Drosophila melanogaster: one gene and its partners. The protein of the gene in region 2 purifies or fractionates together with the protein of the main gene of each other region. This does not show direct contact. Each region holds a gene or a part of one and is shown on either strand. Other genes may lie near its edges.

Evidence for each region.
Region 1: the proteins of Cpsf6 (region 2) and MED25 purify together in Drosophila melanogaster (affinity purification with mass spectrometry, with the first as the bait; one large-scale study listed by BioGRID). This does not show direct contact.
Region 3: the proteins of Cpsf6 (region 2) and Sec23 purify together in Drosophila melanogaster (affinity purification with mass spectrometry, with the first as the bait; one large-scale study listed by BioGRID). This does not show direct contact.
Region 4: the proteins of Cpsf6 (region 2) and Ptip purify together in Drosophila melanogaster (affinity purification with mass spectrometry, with the first as the bait; one large-scale study listed by BioGRID). This does not show direct contact.

What each region holds. Positions count from the first base shown.
Region 1 is NT_033777.3:20,005,689-20,012,866, reverse strand, and holds MED25 (mediator complex subunit 25), read right to left. Parts: upstream 3,921-7,178; 5' UTR 3,808-3,920; coding exon 1,216-3,807; 3' UTR 1,155-1,215; downstream 1-1,154. Other genes in the region: CG17190 (uncharacterized protein), read left to right, coding at 274-987; Hs6st (heparan sulfate 6-O-sulfotransferase), read left to right, coding at 6,447-6,632.
Region 2 is NT_037436.4:8,308,916-8,318,443, forward strand, and holds Cpsf6 (cleavage and polyadenylation specific factor 6), read right to left. Parts: upstream 6,588-9,528; 5' UTR 6,223-6,587; coding exon 6,157-6,222; intron 5,762-6,156; coding exon 5,042-5,761; intron 4,237-5,041; coding exon 4,096-4,236; intron 3,836-4,095; coding exon 3,369-3,835; intron 3,159-3,368; coding exon 2,859-3,158; intron 2,801-2,858; coding exon 2,732-2,800; intron 2,312-2,731; coding exon 2,116-2,311; 3' UTR 1,578-2,115; downstream 1-1,577. UniProt on the Drosophila melanogaster protein: May play a role in pre-mRNA 3'-processing.
Region 3 is NT_033777.3:5,646,025-5,654,173, forward strand, and holds Sec23 (secretory 23), read left to right. Parts: upstream 1-3,040; 5' UTR 3,041-3,213; exon of another isoform or gene 3,214-3,334; 5' UTR 3,335-3,357; coding exon 3,358-3,636; intron 3,637-3,695; coding exon 3,696-4,945; intron 4,946-5,007; coding exon 5,008-5,161; intron 5,162-5,229; coding exon 5,230-5,778; intron 5,779-5,956; coding exon 5,957-5,980; intron 5,981-6,356; coding exon 6,357-6,446; 3' UTR 6,447-6,605; downstream 6,606-8,149. Other genes in the region: MTA1-like (metastasis associated 1-like), read right to left, coding at 1,030-1,191, 2,473-2,500; elm (ethanol sensitive with low memory), read right to left, coding at 7,228-7,730.
Region 4 is NT_037436.4:14,025,499-14,032,170, reverse strand, and holds the start of Ptip (PAX transcription activation domain interacting protein), read left to right. Parts: upstream 1-3,049; 5' UTR 3,050-3,326; coding exon 3,327-3,401; intron 3,402-3,780; coding exon 3,781-6,324; intron 6,325-6,381; coding exon 6,382-6,672. Other genes in the region: endos (endosulfine), read left to right, coding at 1,179-1,364, 1,751-1,924.

The DNA of each region.
Region 1 (7,178 bases), on a different chromosome or scaffold from region 2:
GAATTTTGAGATCAAAATTTTCAAATCGAGATCTTTGAGAACGGTTTTTTCTCTAAGTGTATAGATGGGCACATATCATAACTTAGAAACCTCATCTTTGATTTGTAAAGCAGCCATATCTTATTCAACCAAATTCAAGGTCCAGTGACGCGTGCGCGTTGGGATTTGAATATAGAAAGCCTTATTACCGGTCATACTCAATATTCATTAACGTACGTGCAGCCGGTCATTAAGCGCCAATTATAGATTCCATTTCTCCGAATGTATCTGCAGTTTTTGTGGCTGCTACTGCTGACGACGACGACGACGACGACGTCCGCCAAGCCCACCAACTCCAGTGATTCTGGCACCAAGAATGGAATGCTGCATGTGACCAGCTTTGTGAACCAGAAGCCCAAGTCGGGAGTACGTGAAGAGTTCGATTTCGAGCAGAATGAGGCGGAGGCCACCAACTCGGCGCATCTGCAACAGCTCTTCGGCAGTTTGTTGCAACTGCCTGGTAAGGGAAACATGAGTCTGGAGCTGTCCCTGGAGACGGACGACGATCCGGTCAGCGAGCGAAACCAGCTGGATGATGAGATGAAGGCCACTGGCGAGCAGCATGAGGGCTTCACCGAAACTGCGGATGCATGGCATCGCATTAAGCTAAATATTCCGGTCCTGGAGCCGGTGAAGCACCTGATAAACACAGTTGGCGGTGGCGGCGTGAACGACTCCCATGTGAAGAGCAATACTCATCGGCTGATTGGACACCATGGCGTCCACGAAACTCACCACAATGGCGGGAACATCAGCTCCCCGGCCATCGAAACGGAGGAGGATCGGGAGACAGCCATCGACAGCACCGGATTCGATGTTCTGGAAACGTTGGGCAGCGCGGGAACGGTTCTGTTCAGCATCTTGCAGAATCTTCGCAAGGTGTTTGCCGCTAGCGCTGGAAGTGCAAGTTCCGCATCCTCGGGGGGCGGCGGCGGTGGAGCAAACTAGTGGACTTTCTCGGAGATTATGTTCTGTGATTAATATAAGTCTTGTGCAAATTCGGATTTCCCTTGATTCTTACTAATTAAATAAACGAAATGTTATGAAAATGGAGAAATTAATATTTCGATTTTGGGAAATAGATTTTGCCACTACCCCAAAAAAGACTTGCAGTTGGATTTTATAAAATATTTTACTGTCTTAATTCTGGTTTTTTATACGATACTCTTAAGTAGCCTACATGAACTCATAGTTTCCGTCGTCAAAGTTGCGATTGCCGACCATTGGACCGCCTGCTCCCATTTGATTGGGATTCTGGCCACCCATTTGCGGCCGGAACTGATTGCCTGGCGTGGTCTGGTGCTGCAAGAGCTGGCGCAGCCCCGGGTTGTTGTTGCTCATCATGGGACGCACCATGCGCTGCTGCTGCTGTTGCGCCTGCTGCTGCTGCATTGCGGCGACGTTTGGCGCCACTTGTTGCAACTGCTGCTGGAGGTTTGGATTGGGCACGCCACCGGGACCAACACCCACGCCAACACCTACGCCCAGTGGCATTCGCTGTTGCTGCATCATGTTCATCTGCATTTGATTCTGTTGCATGGGCATGCCGCCGGGACCGGGACCAGGTCCGCCGCCAGGACCTCCACCACCCATCTGCATATTGAGTTGGAACTGGTTGTAGTGTTGCTGCTGCGAGTTATCCTGTTGCATCTGTTGCTGCTGTTGTTGTTGTTGCTGTTGCTGCTGCAGCTCCATGGGCGACTTGCCTTGCTGCTGCATCATTTGCTGCTGTTGCTGCTGCTGTTGCATGTTGCCGTGCTGCTTTTGCTGTATGACTTTGCGCAGACGTTCCACAAACATTGCCTGATTATTGGGAATGAAGCCCAGAAAAGCGTTGCGATCGGGCGTGTAGAGTAGGATGAGAACCTTAAGGTCACAGGCTGGTGAGTTGGGGATGGAGGAGAAGTGGACGCAGCCAGCATAGCCGGAGGTCATCATCTTGGCCAGCGAATCGAGTGCCTCTCCTGGAGTGGGTCGAAAAACAACCATTTTCGAGTCCTTGAGAAACTGCCCACCAATATTGCCAACTAGGTGCTTGGGCATTAGCTGCATCAACAGCTTGGGCGGCCAGTTCTCAGCCTTGATCTCGGGCTCGCCATCTTTGATGTTGGTGCACACGGTACACTGGAGTGTATGGGGAATCTTCTGTTGATCGGACTTTGGCTTCTCTGACCACTCCAGCACTCCGGTCCATATCTTTTCCCTCAAGGAGGCCTGCTCCTGCTGCGAATTTCCCTGCTGTTGCTGCTGCGGATTGCCCTGCTGCTGCGGATTCGACTGTTGTCCTACTTGTTGTTGCTGCTGCTGCGGATTAGACATGTTGCCGGCATTGCTAGCCGGCATCATATTGTTTCCTGCATTGGGATTTACCTGCTGCTGTTGCTGTCCTTGCTGCTGCTGTTGCTGTTGCTGGGCCAGTTGCTGTTGCTGCTGCAACTGCTGGTGATTTAGCATCTGCTGCTGGCTCAGCATCTGCATCCTTTGTTGCTGCTGCTGTTGGGCCTGTTGTTGCTGCTGCTGCTGCTGCTGCGCCTGCTGCTGTTGCTGCTGCTGCAGCGAGGTCACAGTTTGGTTCGGCGGCGGCGCATTAATGCGCGATATCAGAGCAGAATTTGGATTCTGTTGCATGCCGCCGCCTTGGCCCACACCGCCCACATTGCCTGCTCCCTGCATGAAGGGCGGACGCGCCTGACCAGGCTGGTTGGGATACATCCAGCGGTTTTGGCCGGGTCCCACGTTTTGCTGGAAGTTCTGATTCTGCATTTGATTGGAAACGAATTGATTCTGCTGCTGCTGCTGCAATAGTTGCTGCTGCTGCTGTGGATTGAGTAAGCCCGCTGGGGGATTTGGACCGGGCTGCTGTTGCTGCATCGTGTTCATGTTCATGACCTGCTGCTGAGGATTGCCTTGTTGTTGCTGTTGCTGCTGCTGTTGTTGTTGCTGTTGCTGCTGCTGGGCTGGAGTGGTGTCCATGGGCATGCCCTGCCCTTGTTGTTGCTGACCAGCTTGATTTTGTTGCTGTTGTTGTTGCTGCTGCACTGTAGCCTGTGCCGCATTGGGTGCAGCCATTTGGGCCGCCATGCTGTTGGGACTAGGTGCTCTCTCCTTGAGGCTGTATCCCTTTAGAAGCACTAGGTGTCTTATGTTCTTGGCATAGTTTTTGCTCGTAATGGGCTGATCTCCGTCGGCCTTCATGAAAAGTTTGAACAACACCGGCATCTTGCGTGGCGCAATAATGGAGAGATTGATTTTGCGCTCGTTGAAGAGCGCCGCCAGCTGCTCACATGATTTGCCCGGATACTTCCACGACTCCGTTGTGGGCATCTGGTACGGCGGACTGTTGCAGATGAGAATGCAGTGCCTCTGGACGCTGGTCTGATCGAGCAACTGGCGCCTTTCGCTGATGTCATCAAAACAGCCGTGGGCCGCAGCAAATCCTTCGGCCATGTGGGCACAGGACTCCATTCCGCCTCCCACTAGTGGCAATCTTTCGATCGTCTCCATCACTTTTTGGGGCTGCAGAAAGGGACCATAGGTTGAACAAACTGGCTCCAGCAGATTGGCCGCTGTACGGTAGACCACAATACCGTACAGAGTGGCAAAGCGCTCCGCAATCAGGTATTCCCGCTCGTCGATGGAGCCAGTGGTGAAGTGCTCCAAAGTCGGCAGGATGTAGTTGGTCTTTAGTTCGTTGATGTAGGCTCCGTTGATGGCGCTGCCCTCGATGACGAAGACCACGTCGGCCAGGGGAATCTGGTCCACCTCCATTGGACGATGGGAGTTGGCTTTAAGTTGAAAAACTTGTTGCAAAAAATGTAAACTATGTTGTCTGCTTTACACCGCTCTTTTACTTTTTTCGTTTGTTTTGCATATCGCTCTGCTGCTATCGATAGTCAACTTATGGTTATCGCTCAGCGATTGCTAGGGCTGCAAAATAAATGAATATTCAAAAGTGCCCATAAAGTTGGATTTAAGAATATGCAGATTGCCTTGAAAACTTGTTTCTATTGAATTCTTTTTCTATTTTCACAAATAAAAAAACGTTTGGTGTTTATCTAATTAACTTAAAATTGAATATTGCATACAAAAGATAACTATAAATAAGATATTACGATGTTTTATGTTAGGTATCATAATTATAGTTGTTTTATGTATGTATTTTCAATGGAACTATAAAGTTAATTCTTTAAATATTCGTTACCAATAGTTTATATCGATGGTTGCAAGTGCTGCCAGACTCTCGCAGCGAGTTTCCGTTCGGCAGTCTGGCAGCGCGGTCAGCTGTTCCTATTGCCCAACTTGCGCAGTTCGTTTTGTTCAGTTCATTCGCCGATTTTGAAGAATGCGGACGTTGACGCTGGTACCGCGTCGTTTTGCCAAAATAATTCGTAAAAAATATACGCAAAACGCTTAGAAAGTGTCAATTAACTAAACATTAGCTATTGAGCAGTGCAAGTGCAGGAAAAACGATCGCAGAAATAGCCGAAAACACATGAAAGTGCGAATTGCGGGCTTTTTTGTGGCTGGCACAGAATGTGTGGCACAAAGCGGAAAGCGCGCTAATTGAGCGTGCGAGCGCCTGAAACGCAGAGAAATGTAAATAAATAAACGTGTGACGCCGCGACAATTGTGAAAAGTGCACAAACACGACGTTTGGCAAGTGAAAAGTGAGTGAAATCTAGATAAATTTCATTAAATTGCCCATTTCGCATCTGGCAAGAAGAACAGCTGTTGTTTGGCATCTCGCTCTGTCTGGTTGTCCTCTCTCTTATTTTGCCCTCTCTCTGTTTTTGTTGCTCCCCTTTGCTTCTGTTTTTTTTTACTGCAATGTTGCTAAATCGTTTGATTCTATTATTATAATTATACTCCTTGCCCTGACGTCACTGCCTCGAAAAACCTGATAATTTGGGTAGGCAATTAGCATGGTTTAAGTATAGTTTAGAGTACAGAGAAGTGAATTAAACGGCCATGTGTGCACAGCATGCATGCTTTTTTGTTATTGTTGCCTGGCAACATGTTTCGCCACATCTGCCTTTTTTTTCTTGTCTCTCTGTTAGTCCAATTTGCCAATAAGCAACTTTTCCATTTGTTTACAATAATTGTGATCGCTACAGAAGCACCGATCGTGAAGTAAAAAGCGCCTACATAAATATAAGGCACCAGTTATGCTTGGGCGTCACTCCGACTGCCGATCGCCAGTTATTTTAGTTGGGTGTTTGTACATTTAAATACCCTACCTAAATGCAACTTACTCGCATGTAGTCAATATCATTCAAACCCTAATATGTTACGCATTTTCCAATCGGGTTTATCACATATAAACAATATCGAAGCCAGATAAAGCGACTTGTGATAATAATCACCCATACAACAAAGGCTGTTCATTCATTATATTTACCATATTATTGATAACTATTTTTATAACTGAACTACAATATGTTCTTATAAATAAAGAATCACTAGATAATTTAAATATTAAATGAAATAAGTACAAACTATTTTTTAACTATAATAAGTTATTATTTGAGTAATTGCACGTATTATCATGTACGGATGTAGGTTTTTTGCTTTAAATAATAAACGTATTTAAACGTATTTTTAATTGATTAAGGGTATACTAAATGCATTGCTTTCGGCTCCGCCATTCACTTTCCACTATTGCGTCATTATTGGTTGATTTATGTATTTTATCGTTACGCTATACATTTGCAGATCGCATTCGCGCGTGGAAATTTAATTTAAGATTTCCCACACAAATAAAGATAAATTTGTTATTGCACAAACGTTTGTTATTCACGCCCGTCTTGAATACTTACTAATAGATTTGCAATTAAAATAGGGTCAGATTAAACGATAAATCAACTTCACCGCCTGCTTATCAGTTTTTGACCCTAACAAAAAAATAGAAAGTCCAATTAACTATGTATGTACGTTTTAATTGTGAACTTCTTATCAGTCTGCCATAGATTTAGGTTCTTAAAAACTATTTTTGATTTTCCCCTGAAGAGCTTTCAGCTACTAAGTAAGTGGCTAGATAAGGGCTAGACAATTTGACAGACCGCTTTATCGGCATGGTCAAGTGGTAACTAATCGGAAACGGTGTTGCTTTTGTAGTGCTCCCAAAACTAATAGGTTTCTAACCGTTTTTCACTCTTACTCCATTTGCAGGCACTGAAAGCCGAGAGACAAGGAAAACCCATTTCCGCGCCAAGTGCAATGGGCGAAGGTGTTCCCATTTTTCGAGTTCTTATCGGGCAGCGACTGAAGTATGATTGAGTTGGCCTCGCCTCCGATTCGCGTCTGGTTCTCGTTGCGCTAGGCCGATACGGATACCCGCTTGGACTCCACTCGGGTGGACCCTTGTTGGACCTTTAGTGCGATTTTCGAGGGAGGCCAGGGAATGGAACATGCCCGGGGATATGCATAAGAACGTATCTGTTCAAGTCGATAGTGATTTTGCCTTATTGCTGCCCAGTGGTGTTTATGAAATCAAGAAAATGGAACCGCGCTCCAAAATCCGAACAATCATTGTGTTTTGCCTCTTCCTGGCCATCGCCGGCATCATCGGATTTGGATACTTTTGTCAAGATCAGGTAAGTGCCAAATCCCCTCATTAATTCCCATTGCTTATAATTTATAATTTTCTGTTACTTGGCTCCAATGCAAATTAGCACACCAATTGGCGAAATGCTGAATTTATTCATTAATATTTGCCGTACATGTGTGCTTTTATTGGAATTACCATTCATACATTTTTGGATCGCACGAAACTTGTTTTGCTATGGCGCATTAATAAATTTATTATTTAAAATATTCGTATAAAAATATGCGTTGGAGTGTTTTTCCCTTCGGCGCTAAAGACAGCTTTTATAATATAGAACTCTTTCTCGATGTTTATCAATTTTTTGGGAGCTTTAATTAGACAAAACAAAATGTTTTGTTTACAGCCTTTCGGTTGGCGCCTTTAAAACTCGGAAATTGTTTACGCAAACGCAAAGGTGCTAATGAAATTCCTCCAAAAATGGAAAATGTGTAACATAATAAGATTTCGCTTGCAGGCGATTGTGCTTCTGTGTTATTATTCATAAATCTTTGACACGCGTGCCCCGTATTGAAATTAGTCTAATCTGTAGCATAAA
Region 2 (9,528 bases):
CTTTCTGTATTTCACGAAATCTGTTTTATCAGCTTTTAGTGTTGGATAAGTTGCTATAGGTTAGTGCTGACGACGTGGTCTTTTTACAGCTACATTTAGATTTGAACTTTATGCTCGTATTCATTATTAAACTCACCGTATACACATAAATACTTGTACAACATACTATAAATTAAGTTTAACATATAATCCTGTTAATTGAATAAATAAATAATACTCCAGTTCAATTTTGTATAAATCTTTTGGATTTTATACCAGCCTTTTTTTTTTCAAAACTAGAACACCGTCAGCACTGTTGATAAGGTGGTGTTTTCGACAATTGCCCACCTGAGTCAGTGTTGGGTAAACGGACATTTTTCGAACTTCCAGATGATTCTATGACGTGTTTTTCGGTTGCGCGCGCTGCCTACTTTCCATTTGAAAAGCAACGAAGTTCGAAACGACTAGTAAATGTTTTTTTTATTTCGCGCTAGATCCAAAAACAAGGTAATTGGCGTATTTTCTAAAAACATTGTACATGGTAAATAATAAACTATGGCAAATTGGGCGACTAGGTGCTGTTACTTGTCCATAAAACAAGAAAACTCTAAAAATTCTATAGTGTATATATAGGGTCCCAGAAGAATGGGACAACATTACCTGCTTTGGCATGACTTAACAGACAGTAATGGTTTGTATAAATTCATATGTAGTTTGTTTCATCGAGATCACAATCACAGTATAAATTGTACAAGACATCGTTAAGCTCATAATACTCTTAACACCTCTAGGCTCTCGCTCTGCGGAGAGTTACAGGTACTTTTCAAATCGTAGACTTGATTTAACAAGGTGTAATTGCAATTCGGGATTAGTGGGACATGATCTTAGTCGAGTATCGTTTACAAAATGTATATACAAATTAAAAGTAAAGCTAGAATTTAAAAAAGTAAAATGTAGATGATACAATTGGAGGCCTAAGTTGTGTAAAATGAGCCGCGAGTAGTACAGTATCTCGGGGGGAACTGAATGACTTTGTTCTTTTCTTGGAACCTATGTTAGGAACTACATCAGCTTGTAACGTTAGTATAGTTAACTACGATAAATGCGATTGGGACGTTTCTCTTTTAGAGTAATTTAGTCTAAAAATCATGGTATTTGGGCTAAAAGCACACACTCGACTTATTCTATACAAACATATGGTTTTCTCCATCCGTTTATGCGGATGGATTCAGTCGGCATTTGAATGCTACAAAAATTCACTCACACTCAGTCTCAAGCACACAATTATGATCGACTTAAGTTTAATTGTTAAATAAAAACAAGATTAAACAAATGCGTGGAGAATGTTTACAACAAAAGATCGCGAAATATTTGAAAATACATTAGGGATAACGATTTTCGGCCTCAGTCGGCAAAATGATTTTGTTAATATAACAATTTCCATATTAATTGCACGCACAAGTGCAATAATTTTGTAATTTTTACATACAATTTTGTTGTACAATTATAAAGTCATTAACTAATAAGATGTTTTTTTTTTTATATAATAAGAGTACAAGAAGACACACAATACAAGACAGTTTTGGTAAAGGTTTTTTCTGGAACAATTCTTTTTTTCATACGTTTATGTTTTATTAAATAAACCGAAATTTTAGAGTACAATAATATTGAAATTCTGCTGCGAAGACGGCGGTGCAGGAATGCTAGTTGTTTGTTGTTTGATGATCCAGTGCGCATCAGTGTCTATAATGTCCCACGCTGACTGTCCCCTTGGCTTCTCCATCGATCCTCCTGCTACTGCTGCTGACTTCGGTCTGCCGGTCTTGATGTTGCCAGGATTCTGTGATGTGAAGTTGGATGGATCCAGAGGCAGTCCCCGTCCGTCGTTGGTAAAATCTTGTCAGCATTTCGGCTTATTATAGTATGTCTAGAAGAACTATGCTGTTTGCCATATTCATATCCTACGTATTGGTAATGTTAGATACAAATCGAAAATCTGTTAATTGTGGCTAGCTTGTCATCCCACCAAGCTGCGGCTTATTGTTTGTTAATAGAGTGTGTTTAGTATATCTGTGTTGCATCTTTACACTTGATTACGGGTCCACTGGCGATGGTTCCAACTTCCACTTACGGCAGTCAATGCCGGGAACGGTGCTCCTCACGCCTGTCGCGATCACGCTCCCGCTCGCGGTCGCGGTCTCGATCGCGGTCGCGTCGCTCACGGTCCGAGGAGCGGTACCTTTCCCGATCCTCGTAGTAGCGCTTCGATGATGGCGCCTCCGCTGCTTCGGCGACTACGGGTTCCGGCGACTTTCGTGGACGCACCGATCGGCTGTTTTCGGATTATGGGATTGAAATTAACGCAAGGTTTTCATTTCGAGCTTAAAAATAATTCGCTTAATTGTCACCGTATATTGTTGCACAAAAGAGCAAAAATATTCTGATGAGCCTAAACAGTTACAATTCAAGCTAACATCTTTACAGAAAGCTTTTAATGAAAATAAAAAATTTGAAAAGCCTATACCTTAAAAATACTACCTTTTAATAAATTATACATTTTTCCAAATATTTTAAAATAAAGTTTCGTCTGACTTTACAAATCTACACTTGTTTTTACAGCAAAAGTAAAAAATCTGTTTACGAGTGAATAAATTATGAGTTCTATGCTATTTAAATGAAGCACTATGATTAATTAATCAGCAACTTTTAAATGAGACAGTGAAGCGAATTTTTAGAAGTAGAACGTCTTTACCTGTCATCCCTGTAGTGATCTGGAGCCTGGCGTTCACGTTCTCTACTGCGAGACCTCTCTCTGTAGCTTCTAGAAAATGAATACGGAATTAAGTGTGAGGCTTACACATGGTAGAACCAAAACTTACCCGCCATCCCGTTCACGCTCACGATCCCGATCGCGTTCCCGCTCCCGAGATCGCTCGCGGTACCTGGACGTGGAACGCTCACGTCGCTGTCGGCTGCGATGAGATCGCTCCCTCGACCGCGACCTTTCGCGCCTATTGTAGCTCTTGGCCTCGATGCCATGCAACGTGTCCTGCAGCGAGCTAATCAGAATTTTGCATCGCTCATCGTGCGCTACCTTGGACTGTTTGATCAGTGAAATGGCTGTGACCAGTGTCTCGATGGCGCTCGAGTATTCACCAGCGGCTGCATCAGAAACAGCTCTGAAAATAAATTAGCATAAAAAGGGAATTGATATTTGATCAACAAAGTAATTAATTATCTAGATAATTTATTAATTAGACCGGATCTGAGTCATAGTTTCAATAATTGGAATTTTCTATGAATTCGACTTAGGAATGGGTTAGTTTTTAAATAATAACTACAAGTTTTGACCTCGTTAAAGAAAACATTTTAAAAACCTTTGCACTCACCTGGCGATCGCCGAACTGCTGACTGTGCGATTTCTGCTCATCACCTCCTCGAACTCCACCTCCGTCAGTTGCGGACCCATCTGCTGCGGATCGGGGAAGGGACCTGGTGGCTTACCCTGCGGTGGCGGCCACGGACCACGTGGTCCATGCTGGGCGAACTGGGGTGGCGGTCCATGCTGTGGCGTCATGTTCATGCCCTGTTGCGGTGGCATATTCATGCCTGGCTGTGGACCTGGTGCTCCGTGGGGCGGGCCACCCATGCCCGGATGCTGGGCAGGACCACCAGGCTGGTTAAAGAATGCTGGGTTCACGTGGGGTGCGGGTGCGCCGTGTGGTCCGCCCGGACCTGGTGCTGGGGGAAGGCCACGTGGCGGACCTTGCGGCGGGAAACCACCGTGCATGGGTGGACGACGCCAGTCGGGACCTGCCGGACCCCTGACGGGCATGCCCATTGGGCCTCCTTGGAACTGCAAGGCAGAAGAGACAAGATTATTTACTGTTCCCAATGATCGGATCGAATCGGTTTCTAAGCTATAGTATGAGTTTGTGTTGCATGGGTTGATCTGTGGAATTACTGAAAATGTTCTGAATACATCGCTTAAGACTAAGTTAACTAAGGTTAACTTAAGTTGGGTTAGTCTTCCTTTATCTCGCCTTCTCTCTGGCTTCGTTAGAATTATATTATGGCATAGATACAAAGAGGACTCAGTGCTTTGGGGATTGTTACCATTGGTCGCTGCGGTGGTCCGTTCGGTGGACCTGGTCGCGGCCCGCCTGGCCGCTGACCTGGCCATTGGCCCTGCGCTGACGGATACCGGGGTGGCGGCTGTTGGTTCCCCATGAGCCCGCCTTGCGGATGCATTGGCGGCTATATTAATACGAATTACGTTTTATATTGAAGTAGTAGTTGTTGTTGTGGGGTAGAAGTGTGCGTAAGCGTTGTCAAAGACATGGAATAGAACATAAATCGTAATACATAAACATTTTGTATAACAATAGCGGGCCATTATACACAATTACAAATACTAGGGGGGGAAATACATTAACGCAATTAAATCAAAAGTATATATTATTTGAGTGGAACCAGGAAGGCACTGCTCTTGATTTTAATTTATTACATGTGCTTTTTTTTGTTGAAAGTCTATGACTAGAGTACAAAAGGAGTAAAAAGAATACAAACTGCCTTAGGCCGAGGAGTGCTACAAAAAATTGCTCTGAAATTACTTGTGAATTAATAGAAGTAAAGAATAAGAATAGTACTTAAAGACATAAATAAAAATTCTTAGAAACTTAATTTGTACGACAGCTTTAGTTTAGTTTATAAATTATCAAATGAAATACTAACAAGAGATCGGATATTTCAGATTGTTTATATCTCACATCTAAAGTCGTTATTGTTTTCTCTAAATTGTAAAACTAAGTTTCTACGTTTAATTTACAAAAGAATATCGAACAACTGAAGTAGAACATATTCGTTTATAAACTATACATGAAGTCGTATATTTAGGGTTTCTAATTTTACCTAAGTAAGCAAATTTTGCATTCAGAACAATTTTGATGGAAATAGGAAATAATGTAGGAATGTAGAAACAAAACAAATTAGAACCGAGCGATATTTCTACAAACGATGAGACCTCTTGGGGCCATGTGGGGCTAAAACAGTGGTTGTGTACCTGCATTCGTGGAGGTCCTGAGTTGGGTCCGCCCACCTGGGGAACCTGCGACATGTGCTGCGGTCGGTACTGGCCCGGCTGCATGATGGAGTTCATCCCGCGCGGTGGATGTCCCGGTGGTCCACCTCCTTGCGGTCCTCCTGGATGTCCGGTGGGCATTGGCCCGCCACCCATACTGGGTGGTGCCGGACCCCTGGGCGGTCCATTCTGCTGCGGCGGCGGCACTGGACGCGTCTTTTGCAGACTCTCGAATTGGGTGAGTGCCTGCTTGCTGGGATACGTGACCACCGGCGCTTGGCCGTGCATCTCCTTCTTGGGCAGCTGGTCGAGCACGGCGCGCAGGCTAGATTCTGAGCCGAGGGAGATTACACTGAAGCCCTTCGACTGACCGTTGGCCCTGTTCTCAAAAAACTTCACTTCCTGTAGATCACTCACGCCAATGTCTCGCAGCGAATTGGCGATATCCTGGTCAGTGGTCCACCATGTGAGATTGCCCACATAAAGCTGGTAGCGGCGATTCATGGTCGGAGTGAGGCTACCACTGCTCTGATGGTACACCCCATTGGGACCACCGGAATTCCGTTCGCCGGGTTCCCCGGAGCCTGGCCCTGCGGCTCCATCTGCGGAGGGCGTTCCACCGCCCCCGCCACCTGAGGCGGCCGATTCGGTGGGACCGCCTATGTCATCGTATAGGTCTACTCCATCGCCTCCAAATTCGTCCTGTGCGGATAAAGCAAAGTAATTAACAAGTGGGTCAAACTGTTGTGGGAATCCCGTAAAATCGTTAAAAATAAACGATCAAGTCTTGTTTTTTTTACAAATTCGATTTTACTCTATTTTTACTTTAGAATTTTTAGAATGTATAGTTATTGGGATTCGTACAATTCTCTACATTTCCATGGCTAAAGAAATTAAAAAAAATTACGTTTCATTTTTATATAAATATAATATCCCTGCACTCAGTTCCTAGAACCCTACTTTACAAGGTACCAAGTGGTCGAGTTCGCCCAAGACGCCGTTCTACCCCCTAACGCAATTCTTTCGGACATCGATCCACCCTACTGTATACATACACACGCGGCTTGCAGAGCGACTGCCTTTTTCCCATGGCTTACCTGAGCCTGCCCGGCAAAGTCCTTGTCGAGGTCCTCCGCGTACAGATCCAAGACCACGTCGGCCATGTTGAGCCGGAAAAGTTGCTATTCCTAGGCGTAATTACTGATTTTTCACCGCTTTTCCCAATTTTCGCACGCACACTAAGACACTCGCCAATCTTTCCGTCTCTGTCCCACTTGCACTCGCGCCTCGTACAGTTTCTTTTTTTTTGCGGGGGAGGGGGAAGCCGGAGCAGAAACCGGCGTGCTGCTGCGCGATTTAGCCGGGTAATCGCGCCCGCTGCACAATTAATTGATTAATTGCTTTGGCGCGTTGTTTTCCGTTGGGTGAATTCTGTAACTATTTACATTCTACTCGTGCACGAACTAGTTTCTTCAATCTTGCGAAAAAATTGTCAGCGTAAAATGGCGGAGCGGTGCAGTGTGACTGTAAAGCTGAAATGTGGAAAACCTATGCGGTATATTTTTGCTCGCATACTAGAAAATACCACATCCTGTTTGGGGTATTCCGCAATTTGACAGTTAATGAGAATACAACTACGATAAAATATATTTAATGAATAGAATTTAATTAGATGTGTTTGTTACCTAAATCGCTTTATTATTACCATAAAATAATCACAAATACTTGACATCAATTTCCAATTTGACTGTGGTCGTAGCGTGGACACAAACCATTGAAAATATATCGACTTCTATCGAATTTTGAATTTTAAAACCAACCGTTAGAACTTTCTTGAAATGTGTAATAAGTTCATTAGGTTCTTTGTTATTAAAAATCGACATGTGAAAATACTTAACATTCATTACAACACCCATAACAGGCATATCTTAATTTAAATATGCATACTTCTAATAAATTTGCCTTTTTAGGGGACCACCATCACACACACATTAATTTGCATAAATTGTTAATGCTGCCCAAAAACTATAGCCATGCATATATTAGATTTGCAGGTCCAAATAGACGCTGACCGTGTCACTTGCACAACTAGACAGCGCACTTGGCCAGAGCTCCAAATTTAGAATTTAAATATAGCAATTAAGCTGATTTATGCGGCCCGTCTGCAGGTTACAATAATTGCCGCTAACAACTCGGCTCTCCGAAATCTTCGAACTTGCTGGTGGCTGGGAACCGAGGAGATTGTGGCGCCGTCGACTTGGCCACTCGTATGCAAATGCGCGGTGAAAAATTGGGGGAAAAAAAAACCGAGGCAGCATTTTTTAGTCGGGCCTGTGAAAAAAAAGACACATATCCCGAAATCTAGTGCATGATTAGCCATGTTATTCGTGTATCTGATGTTTTTTCATTTTTCTTCTCGTATTTGGGCAGTAGTCCACCTGTTGGTATTTAGTTTTTAACTTTGGCTCTTTGACTCCCATATGTTAGTTGCGTTAATGAATTGCCTTAAATGTCAATTACCACTGGCTTTTATCGTCCAATCTGAACGGACGGCAATTATATTTGCTGCTCTCGCCTCATGCGATTGTGTGTTTAATTAACAAGAGTAATTAAATGGGTAATTACGATCTTTACAGCAATCAATCGATTTTTAAATGCTTCAGCGAATAAAGCTATTGCAGATTGGATTTTCGCGATTTGCATATGTGGAAATGTGTTTCCAATTCAAGGTGGGCGGTTCTTCAAGAGCAATCACGCAGATGGAAATCGACGGATGTTGGTGGCGAGGGTGCAGTCAATTGAAATTCTCGGCTAATCGCTGACATTTTTGGGACAGAATTGGGGCTCAAAGGTGCAACATTGAAGGGGAGGAGACTTACGCACGTAGTATTTATCTTAAATATACTGCACGCTTTTAAAATAACCAACAATAATAGGATAAAAATCAATTGCTATGAAAATATTGCGCATACGCCGTGTGGCCTTTGGCTGGCTATCATAAAAGTCGTATAAGTGTTATTGAATGTTTCCGATCACTTAGATCTACATAATGGCTACCACTCATATCAATTGCCCCCCATCGACCATTTCGGACGTGCGTAAGTCATGTCAAAAATTTATTGCGTGACCATTGGCTGGGATACTTTATCAAAAAGCGGCGCCGCAGCCTAACAAAGTGCCAACTTGCAACTTCCAAGCTTCCAACTGCCCAGTAGCCGTCGTGCCGCTCCACCACCATCAGTTGGGCAATGGATACGCAAAGAGAACATGCATAAATCTCACACCACAGCCGGCCATCAAGTGCACCTACACAGCAGCAGTCATTCGATGCGATTCGATTCGGTTCGGTCCTGGCCAAGTGTCGAGGTGCCAATTAAGGCTACACACTGCTGGGTATTTTGACCATATCATACTGCAAACTGCGAACTGTAAGCTACAAACTGCACTGCATGGATAATTTTTTTAACTCCGTGGAGCGACCGAAATGGACCAGGCCGAGTGTCATTTGATTCTTGTGGCAGGCTGGCGCGTTTCATGCGCCTTTGACATGCAACCAGGGTCCAAATCCAAAGCTCCATGCCGAGTCGGCACAGTTTACACGAATCACCAGCAAACAAAACAAAAAAAAAAAAAGAAAAAAAAAACCACCAGAAACCGACAAAAAGCGAACAAAAAACAAAAAAAAAAAAAAACATTACGAAATTTGTCGTCTGACAAAAAGCTTAGAAAACGATATAAATTAAATTTACGTTTTTGGTGCTCATTAAATGTTCACAACTTTGGGCCCAGCGAGGCATTTTCGGTTGCAAAATTAGAACATCGCTTTGGGAAATCGCCGCCAAAATGCAGTTAATTGTTTTTCGCTCTTGTTAAAGTTTTCTACTCGGTTTTCTCGCGATTGTCACAAATTGAATAATGTCTCAATTGCGCACCGCTGCTGTTTTGGAGAACATTCAAACATTGTTTGCCAACTGTTTGCAATTGTTTGCCGCCATACGAGGCGACTAATTACGTGGCCATATTGTATAATCGTGCCGTTTGATATATGTATGTATATCCTGGCACAGCAGCTGGCCGATCCAGCTCCAGATCCAGATTCAGCTCCAGAAAAAAAAGTGAAAGGCAAACATGCAACGCCCACTTCTCGCCAAGTGGCCAAGTATAACTCGACCATTATATAATTGTTACCATTTGACTAATTTGCCTTTTGGCCAGATAAATACCGAGCGAATAACGAGGAAAGCTGCTCTAGAGAGGCGCAAAAAAGGGGCTCAAAAATCTGGCCAACTGCTAGCCCCATTTGCCATGTCACGGTACTCCAGCCAGTGGCAATCGCACCACTGACCAACTTATCCAAAACCGGCTTCCAGCCGAGGCAGAGCCACTCCGAATATGGGTCAGCTACGTGAGTTAGTCCATGCACCCGACGCAATCTTAATTGCCAATCATCAATGGAAGCGCACGGGATG
Region 3 (8,149 bases), on a different chromosome or scaffold from region 2:
ATACACAAATGCAAAGCGCGCCTTCCTGCGTGTGCCACATCGCCATAGCTTCACTCCACTCCACTGCTCCATTCCAATCCCCTCCAGATCCCAACTTCTGACTTGAACATTTTCGTGCACACAGAGCAGCAGTGTCAGTGGGTTTGGGGTTGGGTTGGGCATGGGTATGTGTGGCAGCTTTTCAGAGGTAGACAGACTACTACTGTAGTCTACCTACAGCCGAACCAAGTATCACATTCACATTGACGTCGGCGCCGCCTAGCAGCAACCGAAAACAGCAACAACCGCATTACGGGTAGTATAGTGCAGCCCAGCTCATTACAGTCGAGCATCATTAGAGCAAACCGGTGGCACCTTAACGTATGTACATATGTATGCCTAAGGTTGAACTTAATAATTTACAGGCTATTTCCGCACCACGATGCGTGTTTATGTTCATTACCAGTTCCCAAAACACCTAGTTTCTATGACCAATATCTTTTTAGACTATTTGCTAAATGCTTTTTCTAATTTGCGACACGAATAATTCAAATTGCGCTACTGGAACGTAGATCAATGGTGCTTCTGGTTCGAAGTAGAGTGGTTACACTGCCAGTTGATGTGGCAGGTTGTTTGAAGGTTCCACTGCCTGTTTATGTGGATGAGTCGGATGCTGGACGAAATCCGTTTTCGCTCCGCCCTCACAGTTGTTGTCATTGCGGTTCTTGTTGCTCAGGAAGTTTGACTAGGATTGCGGGATGGGGTGGCACTGTGGGAGGTTGGGTGGTTCGGTGGGTGGCTTCGCTTTCCACATGCCTTGACACAGCGCACACAGTGGTGCCCCTTACGGGTTCATTTTGTTGTTGTTTTGTGGTGGGCATGTGCTTAGCAGATCTGGTCGTCAGGTTTTAACTCTTAACTTGTTTGAAGGCCACGACAACGACTCTTGGCAACATAACCTCACTTTGTTGACAATAAATATACACACTTAGAGGTAACGTAACGCAAGATATGGATGCGGTTTCGAGGGAACAGGGTTTCTCTACTCACGTTGGTGTTTGTCGGCCAATTGCACGAGCGGATTGGGCAGATCCCGGCGGCGGTAGAAGCACATGACCTTCGCTTCCACATTGCCGGTTTGGTTTTTGTTCAGCTCCTCGATGCGTCGTATTAAGTAGGGACTGTTCGGCGTTGTCTCAACGTAAACATAGTCTGAAAAAAAAACAGTTTTTGAGGTGGCTGATGCAAAAGGGTCAGAAAAGGGCATGGAAGGGTGGGGGGCTGCAACTCCATTAATACGTCACAGGTAAGCGCACACATACACCTATACACGCATCCACCTAAGTGCGACCACCACTACCAGCTAAAGCGCAATTAAATACATATGGGTCTATCCATCCATATAACTTTATACCTACAACAACTGCAGCGGAACCTGTCGTTGACTATTATAAAAAATAAAAGAAATTCCGTTTATCTGTATGTACATACATACATAGATACAAACGTCGTGTGCACTTCTGCTACATTTTGGGATGCAGATACACAGATAGATGGGTAGATAGATGAAGAGAGATGAAAAAGAAAGTGTGGAGGCAGCGAGAAAGCATTGCCGAAGGTGTGTAACTGTGTGCGTGGCCATTAAAAACGGCTAACAAAAAACGCCGATGGAGACAAAAAGTTCTCGGCGATAAAGAGCAGATAATTCGACAAGTATATATGCCATTAATATTTATTTTGATTCCGTTAATTGAAAGCTTGCGTATCCGACCGAGCTTATTTGCATTTCGAAAGAGCACACACACCCACACACTTGCGAAAATCAGGTGAAGACAACACAATAACGTCACCGCTCGAGCGCGAGCGAGATGGCTAACAGAAAGTGCGTCAGGCAGGGTGAGGAGTGGGAGGCGTGAGATGGGGGGAGATGCTCAAAAGCTCATTAGCATATGAAAACACAAAAAGGCGGGTGGGCGGTGAGCCCAAAAGTGAGATACACTTTCGCACATAGTCAAACAAACACACACGCTGGAGAGATCACAATTCGGCAAAACCAAATCCAAATGCAAATGCAATTCAGTTCCCCAGCCCTAGAATACACACACACGCATACACTTAGGGCATAAGTTAATGCTTATCGGTTGGAACACGTCGAAAACACTTGCTGCAGCTGCGACACAAGAGCAGCAGGGGGCTCCTTCAAAGAAGTTAAAAAAAATAGAAAAGGTCTCTCCTTTTCGACGGATTGTTCTTGAGATTGATAATACACGCACACACACACACATACACGTGCGTCGGGTCTCCCACTAAAGGGTTTTCGGCAATTAAAATGCACTTTCGTTATTGTTGGAAAGCCTCCTCAGACACAACACACACGCATACGCACACATTGGACACACACACACATATGCAGAAGCGAACACGCACACCGTGAAACGGCGGCGCCGATAACGAAAGATGATAGAAAAGCGAGTACGCGAAAATTTTTCTCACCTCCGACTCGATACATATTTGTGGCCATTTTCACTACGCTACCGCACCAAAACTTTCACATGCAAAACACTCGGCACACGCTTAGCACTGTTTTTCAATGGTCCTGTTCCAAACTAGCGCACATTTATTAGCAGAAAACTCGAGTTGTTATGATTGCATTTTTCACATAAGAAGACGCGTTTTTTTCGTCGCCATCTTAGAAACAACTCAACTCTAAAAAATACACGCACACACACACAATGCCGAGTAAACAGCTGCACCAGGGATGCACTCCACGGTGCGATAGTTTGGCCATCGATAGCAATCGATACATGGGGTGTTGGGTAAAAACTTAATGTTAAAATTTAGTTGGGGCGATAAGAAAAACGATAAGGGGCTTTTCTAGGAATACGATTTATATTTATTTATATTATATATACTTCTTGAATAACAATATATATCATTAAGAAAATTAACTGAAAAAATTATGGGCGAACCTTGTTTTATTTATCATTTTCAAAACATATTTATTTTCACCCTTTTTTTCTCATATTAAAACATTCATTCAATCGCATGGGGCGCATGCGATAGTATCGCTTGAAAACTGTCTTCCCTAACATGCAACGTTTGCACTTAAAATTCTGTAATAGTTCGTAGTCTAGGTTTCTACGTTTTGTACGTTTGTATAAATTGTTTCCAGAGTGAGTGCTTTGATTTGAAGAGCCTCTTAAAGACTCATCTCGCGAATTTGTTTACTTTCGCGTGAGTATTTTGGCCGTCGCCAGCACGAAAGGTGTCACGACTCGCTGTCAATCCGTGACGTGGCCTGACCGACCGATTTTTCCAATTGGCAGAGGTCTAACAGAGGTTTTTCCGATTTAAGTATTACATTTAAGTGTTCCGGCGATGACCACCTACGAGGAGTTCATCCAGCAGAACGAGGACCGCGACGGAGTGCGGCTGACGTGGAATGTGTGGCCCTCAAGTCGCATCGAAGCCAGTCGGCTGGTGGTGCCCCTAGCTTGTCTTTACCAGCCTTTGAAGGAGCGCCCCGACCTACCGCCTATTCAATATGAGCCGGTCTTGTGCACTCGCAGCAACTGCAGGGCCATCCTGAATCCACTGTGCCAGGTGGACTACCGTGCTAAGTTGTGGGTGTGCAACTTCTGTTTTCAGCGCAATCCGGTGAGCTCAATGGTGATCTTTAGACTCTCTGCGGCAGTTTATGACAGTCATTATTCCAGTTTCCCCCTCAATATGCTGCCATTTCCGAGCAGCACCAACCAGCGGAGCTGATTCCGGGATTCAGCACTATTGAGTATACTATTACACGGGCCCCCACCATGCCGCCCGTCTTCATTTTCCTGGTTGACACCTGCATGGACGAGGAGGAGCTGGACGCCCTCAAGGATTCGTTGCAAATGTCGCTAAGTCTGCTGCCAACCAACGCTCTCGTGGGTCTGATAACCTTCGGAAAAATGATACAGGTGCACGAGCTGGGCGCGGAAGGCTGCTCTAAGAGCTATGTGTTTCGTGGTACCAAGGACCTGACTGCCAAGCAGGTGCAGGATATGCTCGGAATTGGGCGTGGAGCGGCTCCGGGGCCGCAGCAACAGCAGCACCTGCCCGGCCAGCCGGCTGGAGCGGCGGCCCCTGTGCCGCCCGCCCATCGCTTCTTGCAACCGATCGGCCAGTGCGACGCGGCGCTGGGCGATCTGCTTAGCGAGTTGCAACGCGATCCTTGGCCGGTGCCGCAGGGCAAGCGTTACCTGCGCTCCACTGGTGCCGCCCTATCTATTGCGGTGGGCCTGTTGGAGTGCACTTATCCCAATACGGGCGGTCGCATTATGACCTTCGTGGGTGGCCCTTGCTCCCAGGGCCCCGGCCAGGTGGTCGACGACGAGCTGAAGCACCCGATTCGTTCGCATCACGACATCCACAAGGACAACGTGCGGTTTATGAAGAAGGCTATCAAACACTATGATGCTTTGGCATTGCGGGCAGCCACCAACGGGCATAGTGTCGACATATACTCGTGTGCCCTGGACCAAACCGGACTGCTGGAGATGAAGCAGCTATGCAACTCCACTGGCGGCCACATGGTCATGGGCGATTCGTTCAACTCATCGCTCTTCAAGCAGACATTCCAACGCGTCTTCGCACGTGATGGTCGCAACGACTTGAAGATGGCCTTCAATGCCACGCTGGAGGTGAAGTGCTCGCGCGAGTTGAAGATCTCCGGTGGCATCGGCTCGTGTGTGTCGCTGAATGTGAAGAGCCCGTCGGTGTCGGATGTGGAGATCGGCATGGGCAACACGGTGCAGTGGAAGCTGTGCACATTGAATCCCAGCTCCACCGTAGCCTACTTCTTTGAGGTGGTCAACCAGCATGCAGCCCCCATTCCGCAGGGCGGGCGTGGCTGCATACAGTTCATTACGCAGTACCAGCACCCAAGTGGACAGCGGCGAATCCGAGTTACCACACTGGCCAGAAAGTATGTGTTGGCATAAATCAGCCCAGAGTTTACTTACGTGGTTCAATCTGTTTGTTTTTCAGTTGGGCCGATGCCACCTCGAACGTGCACCACATCAGCGCTGGCTTCGATCAGGAGGCCGCCGCAGTTCTGATGGCCCGTATGGTCGTCTATCGTGCGGAGACTGACGAAGGACCCGACATTCTGCGCTGGGTCGATCGTCAGTTGATTCGTCTGGTAAGTTTTCAATGTGCAAAATTACTCGTGCCCAATTAATTAGTATTGTAAATGCTTTCCTTTTACAGTGCCAAAAGTTCGGCGAGTACTCAAAGGACGATCCCAACAGCTTCAGGCTGTCGCAAAACTTCAGCCTATTCCCGCAATTCATGTACCACCTGCGCCGCTCGCAGTTCCTGCAGGTCTTCAACAACTCGCCCGACGAGACCACATTCTATCGACACATGCTAATGCGCGAGGACCTCACCCAATCGCTGATCATGATCCAGCCTATTCTCTACAGCTACTCGTTCAACGGCCCTCCAGAACCGGTCCTCCTCGATACGGCTTCCATCCAGGCGGATCGCATCCTCCTGATGGACACGTTCTTTCAGATTCTGATTTACCACGGCGAGACCATCGCCCAGTGGAGAGCCCTCAAATACCAGGACATGCCAGAGTACGAGAACTTCAAGCAGCTGCTGCAAGCACCGGTGGACGACGCGCAAGAGATTCTTCAGACGCGCTTCCCCATGCCTCGCTACATCGATACGGAGCACGGCGGATCCCAGGCCCGCTTCCTGCTGTCCAAGGTCAATCCCTCGCAGACGCACAACAACATGTACGCCTACGGGCAGGTGAGTCTCGCAGCCAGCGCCATCAACTGGCCACATTTGATTGATCTTTGCAGCGCTCCATTTGGCGTCATCGAAAATTTAATCTCAATCGAAATCTCAATCTCGTTTTATGTTGGTTTTGTTTCTCTCATTGTATAATCCGTACCCGTATCCGTAACCGCTCCTTTGTCAATCGCAGGCGCCCATCGGTCAAGTCACGGTAGTACATATTTGTTTAATTTTCAACTTTTAAACTGGTGGAAAGGTGGATATTTGAAATTTAAGGGGCGGGTAAAAAATCTTTGGAAATTGGATATGTCCTTTGCTCTTGATAGCTATAAGTCCAAAATAAGTGTTTTGGATTTTGCAATAAATCTAAGATGGCCAACCCCACACGGCTTAATCTAAGCAAAGATTTTGTCTGTTCCTATTTTTTCATATTGTTTTTAATAATTTCAAACATGATTTATATATAAGTGGCTTTTGGTGTTGGACCCTTCTAGGTGCTTGTATCCCTTTTTCATTCATCCTCCCCTCCCCACTTGGCACGATCCCACCCACCCATCGCATGACTAATTTTCCGGACATTATCTCGACAGGATGGCGGGGCTCCAGTGCTCACGGATGACGTTTCGCTGCAGCTGTTCATGGAGCACCTCAAGAAGCTGGCTGTGTCCACCACCACATAAATCGACTCTGGCTCTAGTTTCAGGCGCTTGCTTCCCTGGCGAAGTCGAAGAAGGCGAACGACACCTGGAATCAATGGTCCAGGCAATGAAATTACGAATATACAACCACTTATTCCAATTGATCGTCTTATAACGCAATAAACTATTCAAATTATGTTCAACAATAAGTGTGTTAATCCGCGATGCTTTTATTCGTAAGCAGCTGAATTAGAATTTACGTTGAGCGGAATGAGTTTGTAATTATAAAAACAAGGCATTAACAAAATGAAATGAGCATCTCTTTCATTCTTCATAACAACTATTAATACAAGTAAATCCGACGGGTTCCTGAAACCTACAAGATTTGTAAAAATTATTTTTTTGTAATATAAGACAGCAAAAGATTTATTTATATTTTTATCATAAATATTTGATCAAATTTCCGGACGCATTTAACTTTTAGATACCAAGCAATTGGTTATATTTTTCTGTATTTCTCTAGCACCCGTGATCAAACATATGCATTTTTTGTTTAACTTGAATGAAATATCTTCGATAAGCTTTGGGCAAATTACTCAGGTTTAAAAAACTTTGCGACACTTTCATTTTCATTCATTAAATTGAAACTTCTAAATGGTTGGAAAACACAACTGGTATAATAAGAATAGCAACCACTGCTTTCAAATCATTAGAGTTTTCAGTAACCCGCCGGAATGCCTCTCGACTAACTGCATCCTAAACTATTTGGTACACACTGACTAAGAAGGTCGCTCTTTCCTCGTGATTGCCGCATCCAGCTAGCCTAGTTGAGAAACCGTATGGACATCTTCTGATCCACGTCGGTGCGGTCCAGAGCTTTGCAGAAGTCCTCGAACGAGATCTTGCCCTGGCAGCACAGGTCCGCCTCCAGGATCGTCCTCTCCGCAATGCTGACCAACTGGTCCTGGCTAATGTTCGCCCCGACCATCATGTGCAGGATGGAGAGCAGCTCGTCTCTGCTGATCACACCATCGTCATCCAGATCGTACATCTTGAAGGCGAACTTCAGCTTCTCCTCCCGGCTGTTGAGCTTACTTTGCTTGTTATCCCTCAGCGGCCGGAAGTGGGCCAGGACGTTCATGAACTGCCGGAAGTTCACCCGATCGTCGTTGCTCTCAGCGAAAAAGGAATGAACTATCCGCTCGCACAGCGGATTAATGGCCAGTTCCGGGATACGCATCAGATCCTCCCGGGACAAGGTTCCGCAATCATTGCGATCCAAGGAGGTGAAGCGCGAGTAAAGTCGCTCGATTTGGTTGGGGGTGACTGGAAAATAAAATTGATAAAAATTAACCAATCGATAATTAGTTTTGAATTAAATACAATTAAGATAGTACTAAAACATGTACATTCAACTGTAAATACCTATATGATATTAACTTTAATAAGCGATTTAACAGTCCGTCAAGTTAAATCATTTAATAAAGTTGTTTTTGTTGAACGACACTGTTCAGATAAATTACTTTTGCCATGGAAAACTCGAACGATACCTATTTACGAACAGTGTGGGCATGAGTCTAAGCCCGTTCGGAATTAGTTGCTATAAAATCTGGCTGATAAGAGCGAACGCCTTATCATCTTAGCTGATACTAGCTGGTCGAACATTGGATACAAGTTCCAATGCGGTGGCAATTTCAATTGTGCGCTTATCGCGCCCGGAATATTGAAATTACACGCTCTCGGAC
Region 4 (6,672 bases), 5.7 Mb from region 2:
TTGTATGTGACAATCCGCCTTCCGGCTACGCCAACTTTCTTATCAGAATTATCGCTCTTTTTCCTTTGAGATGCTTCAAAGCTAGCGATGACACTATCTGCAGTTCTTGGACTACAGCGATAGTCCAACCAACAGTTACATTTGAATGCTATACTGCTATACTATATTTGAATATATTAAAATAAATTTAAATTGAAATGTGCACTTATAAGAGCGCCCTCTCAATGTGTTAATTTGTTCAATGCATAGAACAGCTTACATTGTGTTTAAACATCTTTTTTTGAGCATATTTTTTCGCTAACATATTGGGAATATGTATGTTTATTTGATCCTCGTAGTTTATATTTTAATTTTTTAAGCAAACAAATAAAATTGCAATTGCTTATCGATGACAACAATGGTTTGAGCCACAGCTACTCGAAGCTGGACAGTTCAGTATTGAGCAACTGTAGTTTCGATAAACGATATGTTCCGAAATAACGCCTTCTGCTATCGAAGACAGTCTTGCGTCTGTAAAGTGATAAAATAATTTTACAATTGAGTCGCCTTGGGAATTTCAGTCACTCTCCACACACCAAATACATAGCTCGTGTAACAGCCTGATTTAGTCGAACAGCACATCATTTGCCGGAATCGTTAGCGAATAGCAGCACTCTCCGCTAAGTCGGCACGCTAATTGGCAAAACCGATTCGATTCCAGGGAAGGAGACACACTGATAGACGGGTGAAGAACAAAAGGAGAAGGAAAACAACAGTTAATCGTCAAATTTTACAGGCAAAAGGTGAGCAACTACGCCTTGCACACAAACAACCGCATCGACGAGCAAACGCACGCACACACAAGCCTTATCGCCTGCGTAGTGGTTGGTGTATATAAAAAATTAAAACAATATTTGCACATCCGATTATTACTATAATATTTCGCGTCCACATATATTAGCAAGTGTGCGTGCGCCTGCCCTGGATTTACGTGCCAGTGTTTGTGCGAGCCTAGCGCGTTTGTGTCTGTGTGTGTGTGTAATGAAATGCAATTTTCTCTTGGCATTTTGCGCGCCTCCGATTTTCGCTGCCCCTCTGCAATTCCGCCGCCTCCCCCTCCTTTTGCCATTTAAGTTCTCCCGTGTCGCCATTGTCGCACCTTGGCTAATCCCAGTACTATCACCCGTAGGCAGCACACAATGAGCTCCGCGGAAGAAAACAGCAACAGCCCGGCCACCACGCCCCAGGACACCGAGACCACCGAGCAGGCTAACCTCACGGATCTCGAGAAGATCGAGGAGGAGAAACTCAAGTCCAAGTATCCCAGCGGAATGCGCGTGCCGGGCGGACACTCGGCCTTCCTCCAGAAAAGGCTGCAGAAGGGGGTAAGTGATTAGCACAATTCGAAAACAATCAAACAATAAGTTTACTAACTTTCGGTGTTCGGGGATACCCAAACCCTGTAATATGAATATCAATTAAAAATAATAATAATAATATTATTTAGTAGTATTTAGTACCCGTTGTTTAAAGGAAAATAACAATTCATGTTTCCTCTATTCTAAGATCCATACTATTTGGCAATTGCTTTCTGAAATCAATGAAACTCAATAATCACAGCGCATAGTTTATATCAACTTGATGATCTGGTAAACGAAATCAGATTGTTACATTAAGTTTGCATTTGGAAGATATCTCCGTTTTAGTTCTAAAAAGCTATTTGATTATATAAGAGAAATCTAATATGTATTCCTTCATATCCTTCCCACAGCAAAAGTTCTTCGACTCGGGCGATTACCAGATGGCCAAGCAGAAGGGTGGCGGCGTCAAGCAGGTCTTTGCCAACAAGGTGACCACCGGGGAGGCCATTCCCACGCCCGAAACCGTGCCGGCGCGCAAGACTTCGATCATCCAACCCTGTAACAAGTTCCCGGCGACGAGCTAATTTACTCACCACTCAACACTCACCTCTACTGTATCCACAACCTCAAGTGCAGCCAGTTCTCCGTTCCCCACTTCAAATGCTCTATACCTAATTTTAATGAAAAACCTAATGCTAAGATGGCTGCTGCCGGATTGTGCGGGCATTTCGCGACAGTTTAAACTGAAATTCTAGCACCATGTTCCGTGTTTCCCCCGTTAAATTCAATCGCCATCCGCACTGGCCAATCAATCTCAAGATCAACTCATCAGTCCATCTCTCAGGCCGGGGAAGCGAAGATGGCGAGCCGAGCAGCGCGAAATTTATTGCAACAGTTATATATATCTCTATCTTTGTAACATTAAACTAACTTACCCTCGTCGTACATAGTTGTAAGTATTACGAGCATAATAAATTTAAGTTGGAGCAGCCAGCCACACACACACACACGTTCTCGTACATTACTGGGATTCCATCAAAAGTTTTTAAAAGTTCACCATGTTCTATGGAAAATGTTTTTATATTTTTTTTTTTGCATTCATTCTATAAGCAGTTGACGGAATTTCACCAACTAATTGATAATAACATAGGTACTGCTGCTTGCAGAGCTAAATTTTTGATGCAAAAACCAAACAGTCGAGTTAAAATGAATTTGTAAATCAAGCAGAGCTAAAATAAATGTATGTACGTATACTTATAAATGTGTTGATTTCCTGGGGCGCTAACCCAACAACTGAATCGGAAATGTGCCATACAAATGTTTACTTAAATTATAAGTGCCCGGAGTGGAGTCTAATTAACTAGGAAACGTTCCTTCGAGCGGTGTGGTATGGTAATTGGTTGTTCAAATTGGACGGGAACGAAATGAAATCACCAAAATAGGTGGGAAATACACAATATTTAATACAAATAGATGGGTTCATATATTTTCATACGAACATCGTGTTTTAGTTAAAAGTTAATCGAACTTGCAAAGTGAGTTTTAGGCCCAATTAAAAAAGTTTTAACCAATAAAATCGCTTTTTGGACCACAGTACAAATGAAATCAATCAAATATCCAAGTTTTCCACCAATCGATACCAGCAGATTAAGCATCCATATTGCCACACTTCTGGAACTATCGATAGTATCGCATAAACAGTGTTTTGTACCAACTCTAGGCGGAAGGCGCAGCGGTGATAAAAGAGAAAAAGTGATCTTTAAATGCAATTTTTCGGTTCCAAATTGCATTTGTTATGTGCTACGCGATAAGCACCGCATCGCACACCGTTTTTCGAAGTTCGCAAATGGCCAAGATCAGCGGAAAGACGAGAAAACACGCTGCAATGTAGATGCCCACGAGCAGCCGCGGCAGCAGCAATAACAAAAGCAAAAGTGAAATTAGCGCCGCCAGAGAAGTGCAAGTGGTCAAACAAACGGCGGCGCCATGGAGAACCTCAAGATAAGCGACAAACTGTTCGAGGATGTGATATACTTTGTGCTGGGAAATCTGGACGAGGAGGTAAAAAGCTGCAAAGCGAATCTTTCGTTTGCTGTTGCTGTACTTGCATTGTGCGTACGTGTGTGTGTGTTTGTGTGAGCGGGTGTGCGTGCGTCTCACAGGGTGGGTTGGAGCGCGGGCGGACAGGGTAACCCGGGCACCTTGGCAAATGCGCGCCATAAAAGTTGCCGGCAAATTGCCGTGTTTGTGTGTTTGTGTACTGGAGTTTGTATTGGTGCTAAATCAACTGATTTTTGTTTTGGTTCTCCTCTACCAACGGAAGCAACATATTTGGCACCCTTGAAAAAAGAATTCTTATTTGGTCACATACATATATCTTTTATATATACTGTTTAAATCAAGTAATGTAATAAATAATTATTATGCCTTTGCCTTGCAGATCGAACGCTTTCTTAAGAGCGGTGGCGCTCAATCGAAACTGTTCCTGTCGGACCAAATCACCCACATGATATGCGCCACCAACTACAACGAGGAGGAGCTGTCCATGAACCTGGACCTCTACAGTGCAATTCCCGTAACGGAGCAATGGATCGTGCACAGCGCCAAGCTAGGCCGAATGGCCTCGACACGGGCTTTCGACCCGAGTCCGAATCAAATGCGGTTGATGCGCGGCATTCGGGTGGCCATCACCAATGTAGTGGCAGGGGATCGAAGGCGTCTTTACGCCATGCTGACATACCACGGTGCCGTAGTCACGCACAGCTTTGGGGCCACCAACACGCATCTGGTGTGCGGTGCAGCCAACGGTGGCATCTACAACAAGGCGCTGGCCCTGCCCAAGAATGCCATCATTATTGTGACGCCCGACTGGGTGACAGATAGCCTTAAGTACAAAAACTGCATGCCCGTGGAGACGTATCATCCGAGACTGCTGAAGCCCATTGAAAAGCAGCGAACACAAAAGCAGCAGGCTACGCAGCAGCAACAAATTCAGCAGCAGCAGCAATTGCAGCACCAACACCAGATGCAGCAACAACAGCAGCAGCAGCAGCAGCAGCAACAACAACAACAACAACAACAACAACAACAACAACAACAACAACAACAACAGCAGCAGCAGCAGCAGCAGCAACATCAACAGCAGATTATCCAGCAACAGGCAACGGCTACTTCTGCCCTATCTGACATCCTTGGCTTTGGCGAGGACAGCGTAGCTGCCAAGAGCATCGCTAGCATTAAGTCTCAGCTGCAGGCTTCAGCTGAACAAATACAGCAGCAACAGCTGCCCGTACCCGCACAGCAGCAGGTGGTCTTTGTGCGCCCACAGCCACAACCCCAACAGCCAGCACAACAATCCCCTCACCAGTTACAGCAAGGTGGTCCTCAAGCACCTACTCCTGCACCACACCCGCAGCATCAACAACAATTAATAATTCAGCAGCAGAAGATTATCCCCGCCAACCTGCAGCAGCAACCACAAAACCAGCAGCAAATCAAAAATATCCTACAGCAGAGACAAATGAAAACAACGCAGCAGTCTCAGCAACAGCAACAAATCCAAATGCAACTAATGCAGCAGGAGCAACAGCCGCATCCTCAACCACTTCAACAGCAGCTTGCGCAACAACACCCGCAACAAATCGCACAGCAACTTCCACAGCAACTTTCTCAACAACATCCACAACAAATTCCTCAGCAACAGCAGTCGCCCCGACTGCCAACGACTCCAACAGGCCGGCAGACACCACGTACACCATCTACAACGCCGCAGCCCGTGCAATCCCCTCAGCACCACCAGCAGATAGTTCAACAGCAACAGGTGGTGCAGCAACAAGTGGGCCAGCAGCAAACGATGGTACAGCAGCAGCAGATAGTTCAGCAACAGCAAATTGTTCAGCAGCAAGTTGTTCAGCAACAGCAGCCACAACAACAATCTGTGCCGGTTTCGCCGCAAATCATACACCAACATCTAATGCGGCAGCAACAAATTTTGAACCAGAATCAAATGCAATTGCAGCAAATCGTGCAAAGCGGACAAGCATTGACGCCGCAACAGCAGCAGCAACAGAGACAAATTCAACAACAGCTGCAACAAGTTATGCAGCAGCAGCAGCAATTACAGATGCAAATGCAGCAGCAACAACAGCAACAGAATCTACAACAACAACAGTCGCCTCGGATGGTGCAAAACCGTTCGCCGGTAATGCCACCAAGTACGCCATCCCCATCGTTGCAGCAACAGCAGCATCATGCAACTAGCAATATGTTGCCGCCACAATCGCCGCGACAACTGCAATCCCCAGCTCCCCAAATGACTCCGCCACCTCCGCCCTCGCCGCAAAACGCCCAGCAACAACATTTGCGCCAGCAACAGCAAATGCAACAGAATCGACAACAGCACATGATGGGCTCGCCACAACAACCTCAACCACAATCTATGATGTCGCCGCAACAGCAGCAACAGATGCAGCCCTTTCAACAGCCCGTCCATCAACAGCAGCGCATGCAATTGCAGCAGCAACAACAATTGGCCCAACAGCAGCAACAACAGCAACAGCAGAGTCCCCAGCATATTTCTCCGCAATCGCCCCAGATTTCTCAAACTCCACCCATGCAGGCAAAGCTGCATCAGCATCAGGTGGTTCCTGGACAAGCCACTCAGCCGCAGCAATCATTCTCCCAGCAGAAGCCTATCGACCCAACGGACCCCGTTCAGGTAGCTCAAGTGCTCAGTCGATCTGCATTGAGCAGCAATCAGGACTCGTTGATAATGAGGCAGCAACAATTGAAGCAGCAACAACAGATGCAACAGCAACAACAAATGGCACCGCAGCCCCAGCAGCAGCAAATGGCACAGCAACCGCAACAGCAGCAGCAGCAGCAACCACAACAGCAGCACACCCCTTCTCCGCGACAATCGCCACTGCAACAGCAACCTACTACCCCCACCTTGCAACAGCAGCCAAACCAACAAAACGCTCAAGTAAAATAAAGAACATATATTATTTTTTACCGGAAATTAATGATTACTTCTTTTTAGCAAATACAGCAGCAACAACAACAACAACAGCAGCAGCAGCAGCAACAACAACAGCAGCAGCAACAACAGCAGGTCCTGACGCAGCAACAGCCACAGCCTGGACAACAGCAACAAGTCATCACTCAGCGCCATGTTATAAACACATCCACGGCTCAAGGACAACAAATCATTCAAAGTCATATGTCTTTGGCCTTGCAGAAGCAGCAGCAATTGTTGCACGTTCAACAACAAGCACAACAGCAGCCGCAGCAGCAACAACAGATTACTCAAGTGCAGCAACTGCCACCGGCA